Linked DNA regions of Canis lupus familiaris. The protein of the gene in region 2 purifies or fractionates together with the protein of the main gene of each other region. This does not show direct contact. Links are inferred from orthologs where the notes say so. Each region holds a gene or a part of one and is shown on either strand. Other genes may lie near its edges.

Region 1 (4,500 bases), on a different chromosome or scaffold from region 2:
GAAGTAGTGATTACCTCACATATGCAAGTTTTCATCCGTCAGCAGCGTGTATCCTTCAACAGGCAGCCTTGTAAGGTAACCTGTTCACCTTATTGAACAATGCTGCCAGAAATTAGCTGATGTCAAATGATGTCTATATTGAAGTTTATTTTTTTGGAACTCTTTTAACACCCAGATTCCAAAGGTGTTCTGCTAAAAAGCAGTCTTCCTGGGACAGTATTCATTGCCAGAACAGGGCTGGATTGTTTAAAAACACAAATACAGAACGTGTCTTTGCGTATTTGGGTCACTGTGGGCTGTCTGGGTTTCCATTTGCGCAATACTGATTAATAAAGCTAATGTCCTGGGTTCTATATTCCTTGCAAGTCATCTTTAAAGGCAAATGACGTCATTTCAAAGCCCGAGTTCTAGGGGGGGGGGAGATAATTAAATTATTTATACCCACACTCTACTAAAAAGGATTTTTGAACCTAAAATCTGAACTGCAGGAATAACTTGACAGAATGTAAAACGAACACCTCGGCTTCATTCAAGCGCCCCAGGTGGGGGGGGGGGGCAGCCCTTGGGCCCCCGTTTCTGCCCCCGTACTTTGCGGGGCAGCGTCCAGAGAATCCGGGGCGCTCGCGCAGGCTGTCCGGGCGGGGGGCGGCGGCCTGTCAGCAGAGGTGGCCTGATCGCCAGACCCAACCGGCTGACCCGAGGGCGGGCCGCCCGGGCCGCGGGGCAGTGACTCCGCGGGATCGCGCAGGGTGGCTACGGCCCACTCTTCCTTCGTTACGACGAAGCGCCTTCCTCCATTAACGTAGCTTCCACCTCCCGCGCACCGGGCAGTACGGGCAAGCATCTCAAAGGCCACAAGTGGGCAAGCGGACGGCTGTTACCGCGACACCCGGCACTCCCACTGCCCTCCCCGGGGTCCCGGGTGCGCGCAAAGGCGAGGCGAGCGCTACGGCGCGGAGGGGCCGGGCACGGCCGCCGCGGGGTCCGCAGGGGGCGGGGGCCGCCGCCGAACCACAGCGCGCAGGCGCGTCCGCGTCGCCCAGTGGTCGAGCTCCTTTCTAGTAACTTCGCTAGGCGTGAGGTCATCACCGCGCGCCGTTACCGTGCTTCCCAGAACACGCTAATTTGTTTTTTAGCCAAGGGGATGAAATGAAATGAACTGATCCCTCCCGCCCCATTTTGCTTTTAGCTCTCCTCTCCGGCTGCGCCTACCCTCTGGGCCATGGAGCCGGGACAGGGAAAGAAAGGCGGCCGGGGCTGGAAGCGGGGCTGGCCGGGCATGACTCGGCGACGCCGCCAGCCGACTTACCCGGCGTGCCCTGCGCGGCGCCGGCCGAGGGACGTGGGGGGAGGGGCGGGGAGGAGGAAGAGCGGCGGCGGCTGCGGATGTCGCTGCGACCGAGCGGCGTCTGAACTCACGGCGGCTGCCGAGCGCCCAGCCCGGGCCTGCGCCGGAGCCCGCGCCGAGCCCCGCGGCCCCTCGCCTGCCAGGGCGGCCCCGCACCGGTTGTCACTGAGGCGGCGTGCCCCGCGTTCTCCGCTGCCCGGGCCGGCCGGCTCTGCCGTCTGCTGGCTCCCCCTCGCTCGCCCGCTCCCTCCTGCGCGCCTGAGTCACCGCCGCCGCCGCCATGGCCGAGAGTGGTGAAAGCGGCGGCCCTCCGAGCTCCCAGGACGGCGCCGCCGCGGCCGAAGGTGCAGGCGCCCCCGCGGCCGCTGCGTCCGCGGAGCCCAAGATCATGAAAGTCACCGTGAAGACCCCGAAGGAGAAGGAGGAGTTCGCCGTGCCCGAGAACAGCTCCGTGCAGCAGGTGAGGGCCGCCCTGGCCGCGGGCCCGGGTGGGGGTGGCGGCGGGACCTCCGCCCGCGGCGGGAGGAGACCGTCCCCCGAGGTGCTGTCGGCCCGCCTCGCGGGTCTCGCCCCGAATCAGATCACACCCAAGTTGCCGGGTGTGCTCCTTGGGACACCGCAGAGGCTTGTGGCGGGGCCCCGCGGCCTGCTGTGGGACGCGCCGACGCCGCCCCCTCCCCCCGCTCCCGCGTCCGCGGACCACCAGCCCCCGCCCCAGCCCCCGCCCCCCGCCCCCCGCCCCCCGCCCCCCGCCGCCTCCCTCCCGCTGCTCACAAAGGAAAGGGACCACCGCCGCGCTCCGGGCGGGGTGGAGGCCGGGCTGGGCGAGGGTTCGCGGTAGCCTCCTCTGCGGTTTTGTCTCCTGAGTTAAAAAAAAAAAAAAGGGTGGGTGGGTGCCCATTGTTTCACCTGCTTGCAGCTTAAGGTCGATTTTGGGGCGAGGAGCACGTGTACATTTAGTTCTGCGTTTTGATTGCTGAAATCTTTTCTACCTTCTAATCTTCAAAAAAAAAAAAAAATTAACCATGACGTAGAAATCGTTTTCAGCCACATCTTAATAGTACTAGCCTTAAGGAAGAAAGGTGGATGACTTTCATTGATGACTTGCGGTTTTCTTTTTAGTGTTTATCATCCCTTAGGTGCCAGTCATCGGGAAGGTTTTTGTTTGATTTTAGAGGGATGGTAGCCACGTTTTGCAGATATTAGCGGTGGCAGTCGAATGCAAGAGAACAAAATTGGAGTTAATGGAGAATATTGCCAGATAATTTACTGCTTAAAATTGGGTTCGGGTGTACAAACTTTGCTGTTCAATTAAGAATCTTGAAGAATTCAACAAATTTGTTGTAGCTTATTGTTGAAAATATTTTGCATAGTTGTTGACCTCTGACGATCTAAAATGGGAACAGTTTGAGGGAACAACAATGTGAAATGTACATGTAAGTTTTCTCATAAACTGTAAATGGGATATTGGTTTACATAATCGTTCTGAAAGGTGGTGTAGAGTAGAGCAGGAAATAGTGGTGTAAATAGAGTAGAGCAGTAAGTAGAGTGTACCATCAACTGAGAAACTTTTACCACCTACTGAATCACCTTTTGTGTGTGTGTGTGTGTGGGGGGGTCCCCAATTGTATAAAAATTTCTCTTAACATTTTAATATTTTCTAACATCTAGCAGAGTTGAAAGAATGGTACAGTGAACATTCATAGTTCGTCACCTACAATTGACGCTTTGTTTTATTTGCTTTATCACGCAACTAATCATGTATTACTTCCTTTTACTTTTTGAATGCATTTTAGAGTAAGTTGCAAGTATCATTAAATGTTTTCAACAAATACACCTATATGATCCAAAGTTTTATCAAGATGTAGAACTTTACAGTTCAATCACTCCCCTCCATACATCACTGTTTTGATTTTTTTCACCATTAGTTTTTGCCTGTTCTAGAACTTCACATAAGTGGGATTATATAGTATATATTCTGTTGGGTAAGGTCTTTTCACTCAGTGTAATGTTTTTGAGATGCATTCTTGTATATGCCAGTAATTCCTGTTTATTGCTGTGTTTTCCACTGTGTGAATATGCCATTAATTAATGCATTCTGCTGAGGGCCACATGGGCTTCTTGCAGTTGGTTGCTGTGAACATACAAACTTTTTTTGTTGGACAGAGGGAGTTTTTCCTGTTAAAATTCTTAGAAGTGGAATGACTGGGTGATAGCGTAGTTGTAGGCTTAGTTATGAGAAACTGTCTTTTTAAAAAGAGCTTCTATCGCTCTTTTTTAAAGGCTGGTCGAAAAGAAACAACCCAGATGATTAACAACCCCTTAGCTGATGAATAAAGAGTAAAATGTGATATATTCCCCTACAATGGAATACTATTCGGTATTCCACCAAAGGTTCTACCAAAGGTTCTTGGGAGTTCCTGTTGCTCCACATCCCTGCTAGCATTTGATAGTGTCAGTCTTTTTCATTTTAGCTCTGCTAGGTATATTAGCTTTTGAAGCCCTTAGATCTTCTTTCTAGGATTGCTAATTCAGGTCTCCACCTTCATGCCTGCTTTCAGCATTTTATTGTAAAGGATTGGAAAGAGTCAATATTTTATAAATAGAAAAGTACATTTAAGTTATTTTATGAGGTACTGTCTGTTAGGATTTATATATATATTGTGTGTGTGAGAGTGACATTAGAATTTTAAAGCCTGTGGGAGTTTTAATTTTACTTTTCTGTAACCAAAGTAAATTGGTTAAATTAAAGCTTTTCCGAAGCAACTTATTCTGATGACATTTGAATTTTTATTCTGAAAAGTGCTTTCTGTTGTCATTCGTTCATTAAAATTAGTGCAGAGAGCAGAAGGGAGCTTCCAGGTAACGTGTCTAATTAGCTTGTTCCGGGATTTTGTAGTGCTCTAGGTTATAGTAAAAGATTTTGAAATCTAGTTCTCTGAAATATTCAGGCAACATATATTCTAGTCTTAGAAAACATTTTTATCATTTGAAACTTTTAGAATATTCGTATACTTAGATATAACAAGTATTGCATAGATTTGAGCCTTTTCTTGTTAAGGGAAATTGCTGTGTGTCAGGATCATTACCACAAACATCATGTAACATCATACTTTATGATGAGTGTAGAACTGTACTGTCCACTTTGGTAC
Region 2 (3,946 bases):
CCAAATAATCCAATTAAAAAGTGGGCAGGATCTCCTGGGTGGCTCAGTCGGTTAAGCATTTGACTTTGGCTCAGGTCATGATCTCAGGGTCCTGAGATCAAGGTCCACATCAGACTCCATGCTCAACTGGGGAGTCTGCTTGTCCCTCTGACCCTGCTCATACTCTCTCTCAAATAAATAAAATCTTAAAAAAAAAAAAAGTGGGCAAATGACACGAATAGACATCTTTCCAAAGACGATGTACAGATGTTCAACATCACTCATCATCAGGGAAATGCATACCAAAACTACAATGAGATACCACCTCACACCTGTCAGAATGGCTAAACTCAACAGCAGAAGAAACAACAGGTATTGACGAGGATGTGGAGAAAGGGGAACCCTCTTGCACTGTGGGTGGGAATGCAAACTGGTGTGGCCAGTCTGGAAACCAGTATGGAGGTTCTTCAAAAAATTAAAAATAAAACTACCCTAGGACCCAGCAATTGCATCAATGGTATTTACCCAAAGAATACAAAAATACTAATTTAAAGGGATACATGCACTCCAATGTTTACAGCAGCATTACCTACAATAGCCAAATTAATGGAAACAGACCAAATGTTCATCAACTGATGAATGGATACCAAAGACATGGGGTGTGTGTGTGCGCGCACACACACACATGTGCATGTAGTGGAATGTTACTCAGCCAACAAAAAAGAATGAAATCTTCTCATTTGCAACAACAAATGAGCTAGAGTATTATGCTAAGAAAATAAGTCAGAGAAAGAAATACTATATGACTTCACTCATAAGTGCAATTTAAGAAACAAACAAACAAAAAAAGACCATGGGGGGAAAAAAGGCAAGCCAAGAAACATAGTCTTAACTATAGAGAATACACTAATGATAACAAGAGAGGAGTTCTCCTGGGTGGGGGAGAAAACATGGGTTAAATGTGTGATGGGGATTAAGGAGGGCATTTGTTGTCCTGAGCACCAGGTGTTGTATGTAAGTGATGATTCACTAAATTCTACACCTGAAACTAATATTATATTGTATGTTAACTAACGGGAATTTATTTTTTTAAAGATTTTATATTTTTTTAAATTAAATTTTTGTTCTAGACTTTATTTTTAAAGATTTTATTTTTTCATGAGAGACACACAGAGAGAGACAGACAGACAGAGACACAGGCAGAGGGAGAAGCAGGCTCCATGTAGGGTGCCCGGTGTGGGACTTGATCCCAGGTCCCTGATCACACCCTGGGCTGAAGGTGGCGCTAAACCGCTGAGCCACCTGGGCTGCCCAAGATTTTATTTATTTATTCATGAGAGACACACACACAGAGAAAGAGAGAGGGAGAGACACAGGCAGAGGGAGAAGCAGGCTCCATGTAGGGAGCCTAATGTGGGACTTGATCCTGGGACTCCAGGATCACTCCCTGGGCCGAAGACAGGCGTTAAACTGCTGAGCCACCAGGGATCCCCAACTAACTGGAAGTTAAATAAAACCTTGGAGGAAAAAAAAAAATAAAACTGTTGTAAAATGACCTATCAATTTCAATAAACTGACTTGGAAATAAATAAAATGCAAAAAGAGCTTTGACTCCAGTGGTATTTAACATAGTTTACATGGACACCAGGTATTTCAATTTATTAAACTTTTATTTCTTCAATAACAATATAGGCACCATAAGGGCAGGGATCAGGCTTCTAACTGCTATTGATTCCACCGTTTAAAAGCATGATGTGGGGATCCCTGGGTGGCTCAGCGGTTTAGCGCCAGCCTTCGACCCAGGACATGATCCTGGAGTCCCAGGAACGAGTCCCGTGTCGGGAACCCTGCATGGAGCCTGCTTCTCCCTCTGCCTGTGTCTCTGCCTCTCTCTCTGTTTCTCATGAATAAATAAATAAAATCTTTAAAAAATAAATAAAAGCATGATGTTGGCACATTAGTAAAAAATCGCTGGTTGACCTAAGAGTACTTAATCTCCTCTCCTGGTCCATAATATCTCTTTCTTTTGGTCCTTATTCTGAACAAGAAACATGCTCTTAATCAGGGGCTCCTCAGACATAATCAGTGGCTTAGTCCTAGAAGTGAGTTAGTTGCTTGAAGAGGACAAATACCAGCAAATATAACATATCACATCTCTACATCCTCCACTTTTGTTGTAACAAGTAGGATCTCAAAACTGAAGCCCTCATTCTTATATCGTTACATTAAAAAGACTTTTTTGGTAAATCCATAATATAAGAAGAGTACTTACTGCCAACAAAAGGATCAGACTGGAAAAAATCCAAGTTTGTGTCTGCAACTGGATCTGTCAGTGAACTGGATTCTGCATTAAATGGATCGCCCTAAAAATAATTTTAAATTAAAAAGTATTCTTTTAGGAACCAGTTTTAAGATTTTGAAATAAAATGCTTTGAAAAATATCAATGGATGGTAATACAACAAATATTTCTGTAGTCATAAAGCTCACTTAATACATTTTTCTTTCCTTAGTTTAAAACAGTGTGTAGCCCATCTAGGGAAACCAGTAATGAGAACATATACATACACACACAAATATATATATATGTATATATATATAAAATTATTTTTACCTCTTTTGAATGTCTGTCAGTATTAAATTCAGGACAAACTTTCTCATTAACAGCTGTAGTCGCCACTTCATTATCATCAGGCACACCAGAAGGCAGTATTTCAGGACTACTTCTTACCTACAAAATATTAATGCTACATGGACTAAACTATGTATTTTCTACTCAGCAGAGGAAACTGACAAAGGATAACCAAAAATTACTAAAAAACAAAAGACAAGCAGAATGTATTCATTAAATGAGTTCTCTTAAAATCTTTCTTTGGAAAATGGTATCATCAAGCATCAAAGTCACTCAGGCCACAAAATTTAACCACTTAACCACTTCCCTTTGGTCATCTCCCACCTAGCCTCCAAGTCTTGCTGTTTTACCTCCCACCTCCTCCTCAAATCCATTCCTCTCCATCTTCACTGTCACTATCATCCATTTATAGTATCATCATTCTGATCCAGCTTAACCTTCCAACTGCCTTCTTGCCTCCAACATGTGCCCTTTCAAATGACCCTTTTTAGAGTAGCTAAAGGAATAGATCTAAAATACGAATCTGAAAAAAAATAAAATAAAATAAAAAAATACTAATCTGATCAGGACTGTTTGGTTAAAGGTCCTTCAATGGCTTCCCACGGCTTTCTGGATTTAGATCAGTAGGAAACAGGGCTTAAGAAGTGACAGGGAAGGGCAGCCCGGGGGGCTCAGTGGTTTAGTGCCGCCTTTGGCCCAGGGCGTGATCCTGGAGACCCGGGATCGAGTCTCACATTGAGCTCCCTGCAAGGAGCCTGCTTCTCCCTCTGCCTGTGTCTCTGCCTTTCTCTCTGTCTCTGTCTCTCATGAATAAATGAATAAAATCTTAAAAAAAAAAAAAAAGAGTTTTAAGAAGTGACAGGGAAAATCTCCATATCACCCTATGTCTTTGAAGGATAACCTTTTGATTGCAATGCCTAAATAAAAACCAAGTCTGTTAATTTTATGTCTTTAATGTATTTCAAACTTGTATTCTTGTCATCATCCCTCCCATTACTGCTTAAGTTTAGGCTAAAACCATCTCACATAGACCATTCCAACAGTCTCTTAACATATCTCTGCATGTTCAGTCCCACTCTCAAATCCATTTTCTACATTTTTCTAAAAGGTAAGTGCAATTATGTCACGTCTTGCTTAAATTCTTCAATGGTTACTCAGTGCAGTAAGATAAATCCTCCAATGCTTCAAGATGAACCCTCTTGCCCTTTTTGACCTAAAAGTGGTCACTTTTATCCAGGTGCAATGCACATCATAATCACCCATGGAATTTTTTTGTAAAAATATATGTACCTGGCACCATCCCAGAAACTCTAGTTCAGCAAGTTTGCAGTGGGGTA
Region 3 (4,453 bases), on a different chromosome or scaffold from region 2:
TTTACTCTCTACTTACAACTCTGCTGAAAATTAAACTATATTCTCTATGCCTGTCATATGTAATGTCACTCATTTCTTCCCAGCTCTCAGGCCTTGCTAAGATTGTATCAAAGCATGAAAGCATTTCTGGCCTTAATCCAGCTTCACTATGATTTTAAAACCAGTGTGTGGTGCATTGGAAGTCCTTAGTCTTGGGATCATTAGTCTTGTAGCTCTACTGGTAGCTGAATATTTCCTATACCTTTAAGAGCTCAACTTTCATCAGTTAAATGAACTATGGGCAATTAGAAGTATAAATTAAATTAGCCAAGTAACTTTTGACATCCATGTCATCTCTACAGAATTGAGTCCATTTCACACTCCCAACAATGGGGAAGTCCTAGGCTTAAGATATCTAGGTATTGATAGAAAGTTAAATCTAGTGTATAGGATGAGGGTGCAAAGCCTGATAAGGGAACTTGAAGGTATATAGTAATTTAAAGATGAAAACCAATCATTTTTGCTAGAGATAACACTTTAAGATGGTAATTTAAAAAAATTTCTTAAGCTATAATTAGTATTGAGACAAATTGAACTTTTACTTGAAATGTGATGCGCAGGAGCACCGGGGTGGCTCAGTGGGTCAGGTCTCCGGCTCGCTCTGGCTCCCATCATGATCTCATGGGTCTTGAGATCGAGCCCCCATGTGGGGCTCTGCACTCAGGAGGGAGTCTTCTCCACCCCCACTCATGCTTATTTGCTCATGCACTCTCTCTCTTTCTCTCTCTAAAATAAAATAAATCTTTAAAAAAATGTGATGTGCATTTAGACTTTGCTTTTTTGAAAGTAGTTTCCTGCACATAATGACACATCGTGTCAAAATGGCGTATTTTAGTACAACATATTTTTCTCTGGGCAGAAGACAGACTTCTGAACCACCTAAGTCACTGCTTAAGAAGAAACAGAGAAGTATAAATGACCCTATTATAAAATATGCACTAATTACACTTGAACGAGCAAGGTGAAACAGTTCAGAGTACAATTAGGGATAAAATTCTATATAATAGGATGGAGGTTTGGAAACAAGGTTGTGTGTGTGTGTGTTTGTGTGTGTGTGTGTGTGTGTTCAGGGGCGTTCTTACTTCAGTTCTTAAACACCTGTACTTTTTGAAAACCGTCCTTTCAGCATTTTGCTTAGGCATGCATCCAGACACAGGCCTACCCGGCAAGAATTGCCCTCATTTATCAGACGGATAAAATAAGCAGAGGCACTTAGCATAGACAGTTTTTCGAGTCACATGGTGGGGCAGTGGTTGAGCAAGTTAACCTGTCCTTTGCAAGTTAAGATTGCCATTTACTGGGGACATCGGCTCTATTGCTTCTAAGATTTACCATATCTCAAGAAAATTGTGAGACTTGTTTGCAGGGGGAAATGGGACAGGAAGAGTTTGAACTTATTTTTTTTTTTTTTTTTAATTTGGAAGAGTGCTAGAAAGATAGGAGACCTTTTATCTTATTTTGACTCTCAACTGGAGACAACTATACATTTTAACTCATACTTTACAGTCTGTGATCATTTAGTTGTCTTTCGTTTCTTTTCAGGTGGTGCCCCGGCAACATGGGTGACTGGAGTGCCTTAGGCAAACTCCTTGACAAGGTTCAAGCCTATTCCACCGCTGGAGGGAAGGTGTGGCTGTCTGTCCTTTTCATTTTCCGAATTCTGCTACTGGGGACAGCGGTTGAGTCGGCCTGGGGTGATGAGCAGTCTGCCTTTCGTTGTAACACTCAACAGCCTGGTTGTGAAAATGTCTGCTATGACAAATCCTTCCCAATCTCTCATGTACGCTTCTGGGTCCTGCAGATCATATTTGTGTCTGTCCCCACACTCTTGTACCTGGCTCATGTGTTCTACGTGATGCGCAAGGAAGAGAAACTGAACAAGAAAGAGGAGGAGCTCAAAGTTGCCCAAACCGATGGTGCCAACGTGGACATGCACTTGAAGCAGATTGAAATAAAGAAGTTCAAGTATGGAATTGAAGAGCACGGCAAGGTGAAAATGCGAGGGGGCCTGCTGCGAACCTACATCATCAGCATCCTGTTCAAGTCTGTTTTCGAGGTGGCCTTCTTGCTGATCCAGTGGTACATCTATGGATTCAGCTTGAGTGCCGTTTACACTTGCAAAAGAGAACCCTGCCCTCATCAGGTAGACTGCTTCCTCTCTCGCCCCACGGAGAAAACCATCTTCATCATCTTCATGCTGGTCGTGTCCTTGGTGTCTCTTGCCTTGAACATCATCGAACTCTTCTATGTCTTCTTCAAGGGTGTTAAGGATCGCGTGAAAGGCAAGAGCGATCCTTACCATGCTACCACTGGCCCACTGAGCCCCTCCAAAGACTGTGGATCTCCGAAATATGCATATTTCAATGGCTGCTCCTCACCCACGGCTCCCCTCTCCCCCATGTCTCCTCCTGGGTACAAGCTGGTTACTGGAGACAGAAATAATTCTTCCTGCCGCAATTACAACAAACAAGCAAGTGAGCAAAACTGGGCTAACTACAGTGCAGAACAAAATCGAATGGGCCAGGCAGGAAGCACCATCTCCAACTCCCATGCACAGCCTTTTGATTTCCCTGATGACAACCAGAATTCTAAAAAACTAGCCGCTGGGCATGAACTGCAGCCACTAGCCATTGTGGACCAGCGGCCTTCCAGCAGAGCCAGCAGCCGTGCCAGCAGCCGACCTCGGCCTGACGACCTGGAGATCTAGATCCAGGCTTGAGAGCATTGATTCCACTCAGTGTGGAGAAGAGAAAAGGTGCTGTAGAAAGCGCACCTTAGGCGTTCATTTTGTTTCAGTGGAGGTGGTACTCAACAGCCTTCATCGTGAGGCTTAGAAAACACAAAGACATTAGAATACCTGGGTTCACTGGGGGTGTTTGGGATAGGCGGGTGGAGAGGGAGGGGAACCGGGAGGTACAAGTTGGTATTTAATGTAGTTTATTCAAAGAACTTTAGTTCTAAATATAAGTTGCATTAGGTGATACATAGGTAAGGGCTTTTTCTCCCCCCCACACACCCTAAGAATAGTGCTGTATATGTGAAAGAGTGGGTGATATATTTGGTTAAGTACTTTTTTGTTTTACCATGAAACTGAGATAACTTTGGCCGGGAAAAAAGAAAAATACTTCCTGGACATCTTGTTTCCTTTTATCAAGAAGAAGTTGGAGGATTGTCCTTATGTCCCTGCTAAAAAACATTCCATTGTTAAAATTTGCACTTTGAAGGTAAGCGTCCTAGGTGGGACCCTCCAGGTGTCTGTGGACTTGTGATACTATATTTTCTATTCTTGGTATCAGTTAAAAGTTCAGATAGGGCCCACAGAAAAAAGACTTTCCATGCATTTTCAAATCTCAGCCAGTCATATGTACATTATTTTTTTTTAACATCTACTTGCATCCTATTAATGCCATCACTTTTTCATCATTCCTCAACAACTGTTCACATTCATTTAATGGTTTCTGTAAAGATTTTTAAAACCGTGGGGATATCACTTAACATTTTTTGAATTAGAGTCAGGGAATCAAGCCATGCTCAATATTTAACAATCACTTCTATGTGTATGTGTGTGGAAGAGTGTGTTTTATTTGTCATGTATTGGTACAAGCAGAGCAGTATAAACTCACAAACACAGATTTGAAAATAATGCACACATAGTGTTCAAATTTGAGCCTTTCTCATGGATTTTGTGGTGTGGGCCAATATGGTGTTTACATTATATAATTCCTGCTGTGCAAGTAAAGCACACTTTTTTTTTCTTTCCCTAAGTGTTTTTTTCCCATGTATCCTATTGTGGATACTGGTTTTGTTAATTATGATTTTTTCCCTTTTTTCTCTTTTTTAGAATATAGCAGTAATGCTATTGCTGAAATGGATGATTTTCTTTTTCTGAAATGTAATCATGGATGCTTGAATGATAGAATTTTAGTACTGTAAACAGGCTTTAGTAATTAATGTGAGACACTTAGAAGAAATGCTTAGAGTGGGCTTTTAAGTGTGCCTAAATGAATTTTGCAGTAACTGGTATTCTTGGTTTTGTCCTACTTAATACACATTAATTCAGAACTTGTATACTGTTAAGAGTTAGATTGTCTTTTGGAATGACCAGCAACTTTGATGTTTGCACTAAGATTTTATTTGGAATGCAAGAGAGGTTGAAAGAGGTTTCAGTAGTACACATGTAACTAATTTATTTGAAATGTACCCTAAAGAAATCTACCATGTAACTAATTTATTTGAAATGTACCCTAAAGAAATCTACCAGTTTCTTCAAATGCCTTTTTAAAACTCATCAGAGATGATTAGTAAAAATGCGGAGTATCATACTTTTCTTCTTGCATGTCAGCTACATAAACAGTTTTGTACAATGAAAAATACTAATTTGTTTGACATTCCATGTTAAACTACTGTCATGTTC
Region 4 (4,626 bases), on a different chromosome or scaffold from region 2:
ACCACTACCTCTTGAGTCTGTTCTCTTCATGCCAGCAAAGGAATTATTTTAAAACATCAGTCAGCTCAAGCCCCTCCTGTGCTCTAACCCTTCTCTCGTTTCACCCAGAGAAAGGCCAGAGTGCTAAGGCCTGTAAAGCCCTCCACAATCCCTGTCCCCTCTCTCTGCCCTCATTTCCTGCCCTCTCCCCCCTCAGCTCCAACCACACAAGTCCCCTCCCTCTTACCAGAACACACGTCAAGCATACTGCCACCCCAGGACCTCTAAATGCACCATCCCTCCACCTGGACCCCTCTGCCCTCCAAAATCTACAGGGTCTGTTCCTTCACTTCACTCAAAAGTCTACTCACATGTCACCCCCTTGGGGAGGCCTACTCAGGCACCATCTCAATCCTGGTCCTTCCTTATCTTTCCTTCCTGACTTTCCTTCACATTACCTTCTGACATAGTGTCATTTATTGTAGTTCAGTGTTTATTTTCTATGTCCCTCATGGCCTGGGTGCTCCCAAGCCAGAGATTCTTGTTGGCTGTTATAGCCTAGTCCCAGGTGTAGTGTCAAAAAGTAGTGATCAGGGGCACCTGGGTGGTTCAGTGGTTGGGTATCTGCCTTCGGCTCAAGTCGTGATCCCGCATCAGACTCCCAGCAGAGAGCCTGCTTCTCCCTCAGCCTGTGTCCTTGCCTCTTTCTCTGTGTCTCTCATGAATAAATAAATACAATCTAAAAAAAAAAAGTAGTGATCAAAAAGCATTTGTTGAATAAATGAATGAATGAACCTTCAGAGACAAGATGATATTATCAAGGAAGTTTACAGATAAGAAAATAGGAGCCTCGAGGTGCCTGAGCAGCTGACTCTTGATTTTGGCTCAGGTGGTGATCTCAGGGTCGTGAAATGAAGCCCTGAGTTGGGCTCTGTGCTCAATGCAGTGTCTGCTTGAGAGTCTCTCTCTTTCCCTCTCTCTCTGCCCCTCCTCCTTGTGCTCTCTTTCTGTCTCTCTCTAAAATAAATAAGTCTAAAAAAAAGAAAAGAAAGAAAGAAAGAAAGAAAGAAAAAAAAAAAAAGAAAAAACTGGGACTCAGAGAAGTTAAATGACTCGCCAAGAGTCACATCACTTCACATTGCTGGTAGGCATCTGGGGCAATGCACACCTACTCCTGATAGATGGCCCCCCACCTAACCCGCAGCCCCTTCTCACTCACCTCTTACCATAGTAACCACAACATCTCTCCTTCACCTGACTCCCAACACCTTCCAGCCCTCTTTCGCTGAGCACCTACTATGTACTAAGTCCTTTCATATCTACCAAATTCCAAAATAATCTCCAGGCATCTAACAGAGGCCACTTGTCAGATCCACCAAATGACAAAAACAATAGCCAAGACTGTCCAGTGTTTGGAATGTGCAGAAGGCCTCACTCACATGCATTTATCACAACAACCTCATCAGGAAGGTGCAATCAGCAGTCCCTCCTGACAGATGAGGAAATAGAAAGGCGAAATCCCCCATTCAAGGTCACATGGCTAGGGAGTGACAGCACTCAAACTCAAGCTCAGGTCCGGCTGACCCTAGAGCCCCTGCGGATATAGCCTCCAAAGCTCTTGGCAGCTCCAAACACCAACACCCACTCCCAGGAGTTGGGAAGCTGACTTGGCACCAGGCCTCTCATCGTCACGACAATTCTTGCTGCTGCTGCTCACTGTCCCCATATTGATGTGGTCAGATGAGAGAGGGCTCCAGATTCAGGACTGGCCTGCTCCCTGACCTCTGACCTCCCTCTGGGATCAGGCTTCCCCCAACCCCCAGCTTTCCAGATCTCTTCCCAACAAAATCCTAAGGCTCCCTGGGCCCTTCTTTTGAGCTCTGGGCTCTCCCCATTCTGGCACATTCCTCAAGCCCCCACTTTGTAACCTCTTCTTCTTTGTTCCAGGCCCCTAGCTTCCTGTCTCGGGTTCTCCCAAGACCCTCCACCCCCAGCAACTCTCCTCCATATTCCTCAACCCCTCCTTTCCCTGTAGCGACCCTTCAGCCCCCCTCTCCATTGCCCTCCATCCTGGAGTCCCTCTCTCCCTCTTCAAGGTCCTGCTATATAGTCCCACCTTCCCATCTCTCTTCCTCAACCCCCTGGGACTTTCTATTACTCTCAGATTCGCTCTGTGCACCACCCAGGAGCCTCCGTGACCTACCTAGCCCCTTCCCTTCTATGACACCCCCCAGCTAGGCCCTCAAAGCCAGACCCCATGATGCTTCCTGTGTTTTACGTCCTCCCGGTCTCCTCGGGCCCTCTCCCACTCTATCGCTCCACAGGGTACCCCCCACCCATGCACCTCCTTCCCTTTCTACCGACATCAAGGATTTCTCTCTCCCCACCATTGATAGGTTCCTCCAGCCTCTCTAGCATTCCCAGGGGACACCCTTATGTCCCCAGCCCCGGGACCTTTCCTTTAACACCCTCCCGGACGCCTCTAGCCACTCCGTGTCGTCACCTCAAGAGGCACTCTATGACACCCTAAGTCCTTCCATTGCTCCCACCCTAAAGTTCCCCCCGGGGCCTCTCTATCCTCCCCCCCTTCGCCCGCGATGGCTTTCAATGCCCCGGGCCCCTCAGTAATCCCCGAGCCCCTCAATTCCATGCTCCCCCGCCCTCCAGTGTCCCCCGGCCGCGCTCTCACAGTTCCGGATGTCGGAGATGAACACCGCGAGCCCCCGCATCCCATCGCCCTTGGAGACGGCCGGCATGATGGCGGTGGTGTCGGCTCCAGGCCTGGCCGGGCAGGGCACAGCGCAGCGGGGGCTGGCAGGCGGGGACCGGGAGCAAAGGACCCCAAGCAGCGCCGAGAAGCAGAGCCGGCCAGGGGGGAGGGCGGGCTGGCGGGCGGGCGGGCGGGCGGCAGGCCGCGGCTCCGCCCCCGGCCCCTCCCCTCCCGTTCGCCGTCCTGAGCTATCAACCTCCCATTGGCTCGAGTTACTGCCGCTCAGAATCGGACGCAACCGCCCCCCGCCCTCTCTCTCATTGGTCGCTGGACAAAGGCACGCTGCTGCGATTGGCCCAGTGGCCCGCTATTTCCGTTCGCGGGGGGCGGGGGAAAGGGGCGTTGCCCGAGAGACGGGCGGAGTTCGGTTACGTGTGGTGGGACCGCCCCCTCCGTGAGGCCGGGTCCCTTGCTGATTGGATCCGGCGAAGGGAGGGATTGACAAGAAGGAAGGCGGGGGCGGGGGCTTGGGAGGCGGGACTTGCATTTATCTAGACCAATGAGCGGGCAGATCGCCCACGCAGGCGTCGCGGATTCGCCAGACCTCCTCAGTTCCCGCCCCCGATTGGGCGGTTGTGGGGGCGGGAGAAAGGCGATCATAGGTAGAGAAGGAAGGGGGACGGGGTTGTCACTCGTCTTGCCCTGGATAGGTGGAGCGTCGCCTGCAATTCCCCGCTGCAGAGAAGTGGTTGGGAGGGGCAAGAAAATGTGAGATGTTTACTGCGCAAGCGTCTGCCTGTTTCCACTTTCTCCCTCCTCTCTTCCACCCCCGACTCCTTAAATCTTCTTCCAGGAAGTCTTCCCGTCCCCTTCCCCCTCTCTTGTCTGGGGCCAAGATGTTGAAACCTCCGTTCTCAGAACCGAGGAAACAGTAATTTCAATCTAAGCCTATTTAGGCAGACCTTAAACCTGTGGTCCAGAGAGGTTGCGTGACTTGCCCAAGGTCACACAGCTCTCAGGATAACAGAGCAGGGATTTAACCTACATTTTGTCTTTTAACCACTTTCCAATGTACAATGCCTTTTGGGGGCAACCATAACGCCATTCTACAGATATCAAATCAAAATCGTGAACCTCTCCTCCACCAAACTTAGAGTTCCTCCTGAGCAAGAATGGGATCTGGTACTGAAGAACACTAGTTAAAAGGAAGGAATAGATGAATCTGCTTGGTTTGGTCCAACCATTACCCCTTGGCACCCTGAGACCTTCTTTGATTCGCTGATTTTGGGGGAAGGCAAAGCCTCAGGAACTACGATGCCCCGAGCTATTGAGAAATTTGGGGCAAAGGGAACTGGAAGCGGCTGTTTCTGTCACTTACAGGAACTAAACCCCACATCACTTTTCTAATCTGAGACGTCTAGTATTCTTGGAATGAGCCTTGAGGGGAGTGTCCTGGATCCTGTGAACTTCCATTCGGAATCCCAGGAGTGTGGGGTGAGGGTGGGGGATGGGTACCAAGACAAGAGCTGCGGGGCGTACTTTCCAAATTTAATGGACAGTCCATTTGGGTTTCCAGGAATGGGGCTTGGGAAAATCATTCTGGGTTCTAGGAAGAAGGACATGCACAGAGCTGTTTTAGTAACCAGGAGAGTCCATTCCTAATATGGGTTGGGGGTGCTGTCTGCCCCCAGAGAACGGACAGCAGCCCGGTTAAAAACAACAAACAATAGGAATTTGAGTTGGAAAAAGTCCTTTTTATGGAAAGATACATTAAACATTGCAAGGACTGGAGGTGCCCACTCATGACATGAAGAAACTCTTCCTAAGGATAAATACTTTATATATATATAATATATATATATATATTAGTAATGGGGTTTGAACTTGTCTTCTTTTTGAGGGATGTGAAGAGACATGGAGAGTCCCAAGAATAGGAA

What was found. Proteins that work in one complex are often made in the same cells at the same time.
Region 1: the proteins of EPS15 (region 2) and UBQLN1 purify together in Homo sapiens (affinity purification with western blotting; 3 studies listed by BioGRID and IntAct, with this or other methods). This does not show direct contact. The link is inferred for Canis lupus familiaris from reciprocal best matches to the Homo sapiens genes EPS15 and UBQLN1.
Region 3: the proteins of EPS15 (region 2) and GJA1 purify together in Homo sapiens (affinity purification with western blotting; 3 studies listed by BioGRID). This does not show direct contact. The link is inferred for Canis lupus familiaris from reciprocal best matches to the Homo sapiens genes EPS15 and GJA1.
Region 4: the proteins of EPS15 (region 2) and AP2A1 purify together in Homo sapiens (affinity purification with western blotting; 5 studies listed by BioGRID and IntAct, with this or other methods). This does not show direct contact. The link is inferred for Canis lupus familiaris from reciprocal best matches to the Homo sapiens genes EPS15 and AP2A1.

The regions. Positions count from the first base shown.
Region 1 is NC_049222.1:76,346,692-76,351,191, forward strand, and holds the start of UBQLN1 (ubiquilin-1), read left to right. Parts: upstream 1-1,628; coding exon 1,629-1,808; intron 1,809-4,500. UniProt on the Homo sapiens protein: Plays an important role in the regulation of different protein degradation mechanisms and pathways including ubiquitin-proteasome system (UPS), autophagy and endoplasmic reticulum-associated protein degradation (ERAD) pathway.
Region 2 is NC_049236.1:9,899,448-9,903,393, reverse strand, and holds part of EPS15 (epidermal growth factor receptor substrate 15), read right to left. Parts: intron 2,709-3,946; coding exon 2,592-2,708; intron 2,343-2,591; coding exon 2,252-2,342; intron 1-2,251. UniProt on the Homo sapiens protein: Involved in cell growth regulation. May be involved in the regulation of mitogenic signals and control of cell proliferation. Involved in the internalization of ligand-inducible receptors of the receptor tyrosine kinase (RTK) type, in particular EGFR.
Region 3 is NC_049222.1:61,513,557-61,518,009, forward strand, and holds the start of GJA1 (gap junction alpha-1 protein), read left to right. Parts: upstream 1-1,581; 5' UTR 1,582-1,597; coding exon 1,598-2,746; 3' UTR 2,747-4,258; intron 4,259-4,300; 3' UTR 4,301-4,453. UniProt on the Homo sapiens protein: Gap junction protein that acts as a regulator of bladder capacity. A gap junction consists of a cluster of closely packed pairs of transmembrane channels, the connexons, through which materials of low MW diffuse from one cell to a neighboring cell.
Region 4 is NC_049222.1:107,457,442-107,462,067, forward strand, and holds the start of AP2A1 (AP-2 complex subunit alpha-1), read right to left. Parts: upstream 2,873-4,626; 5' UTR 2,736-2,872; coding exon 2,669-2,735; intron 1-2,668.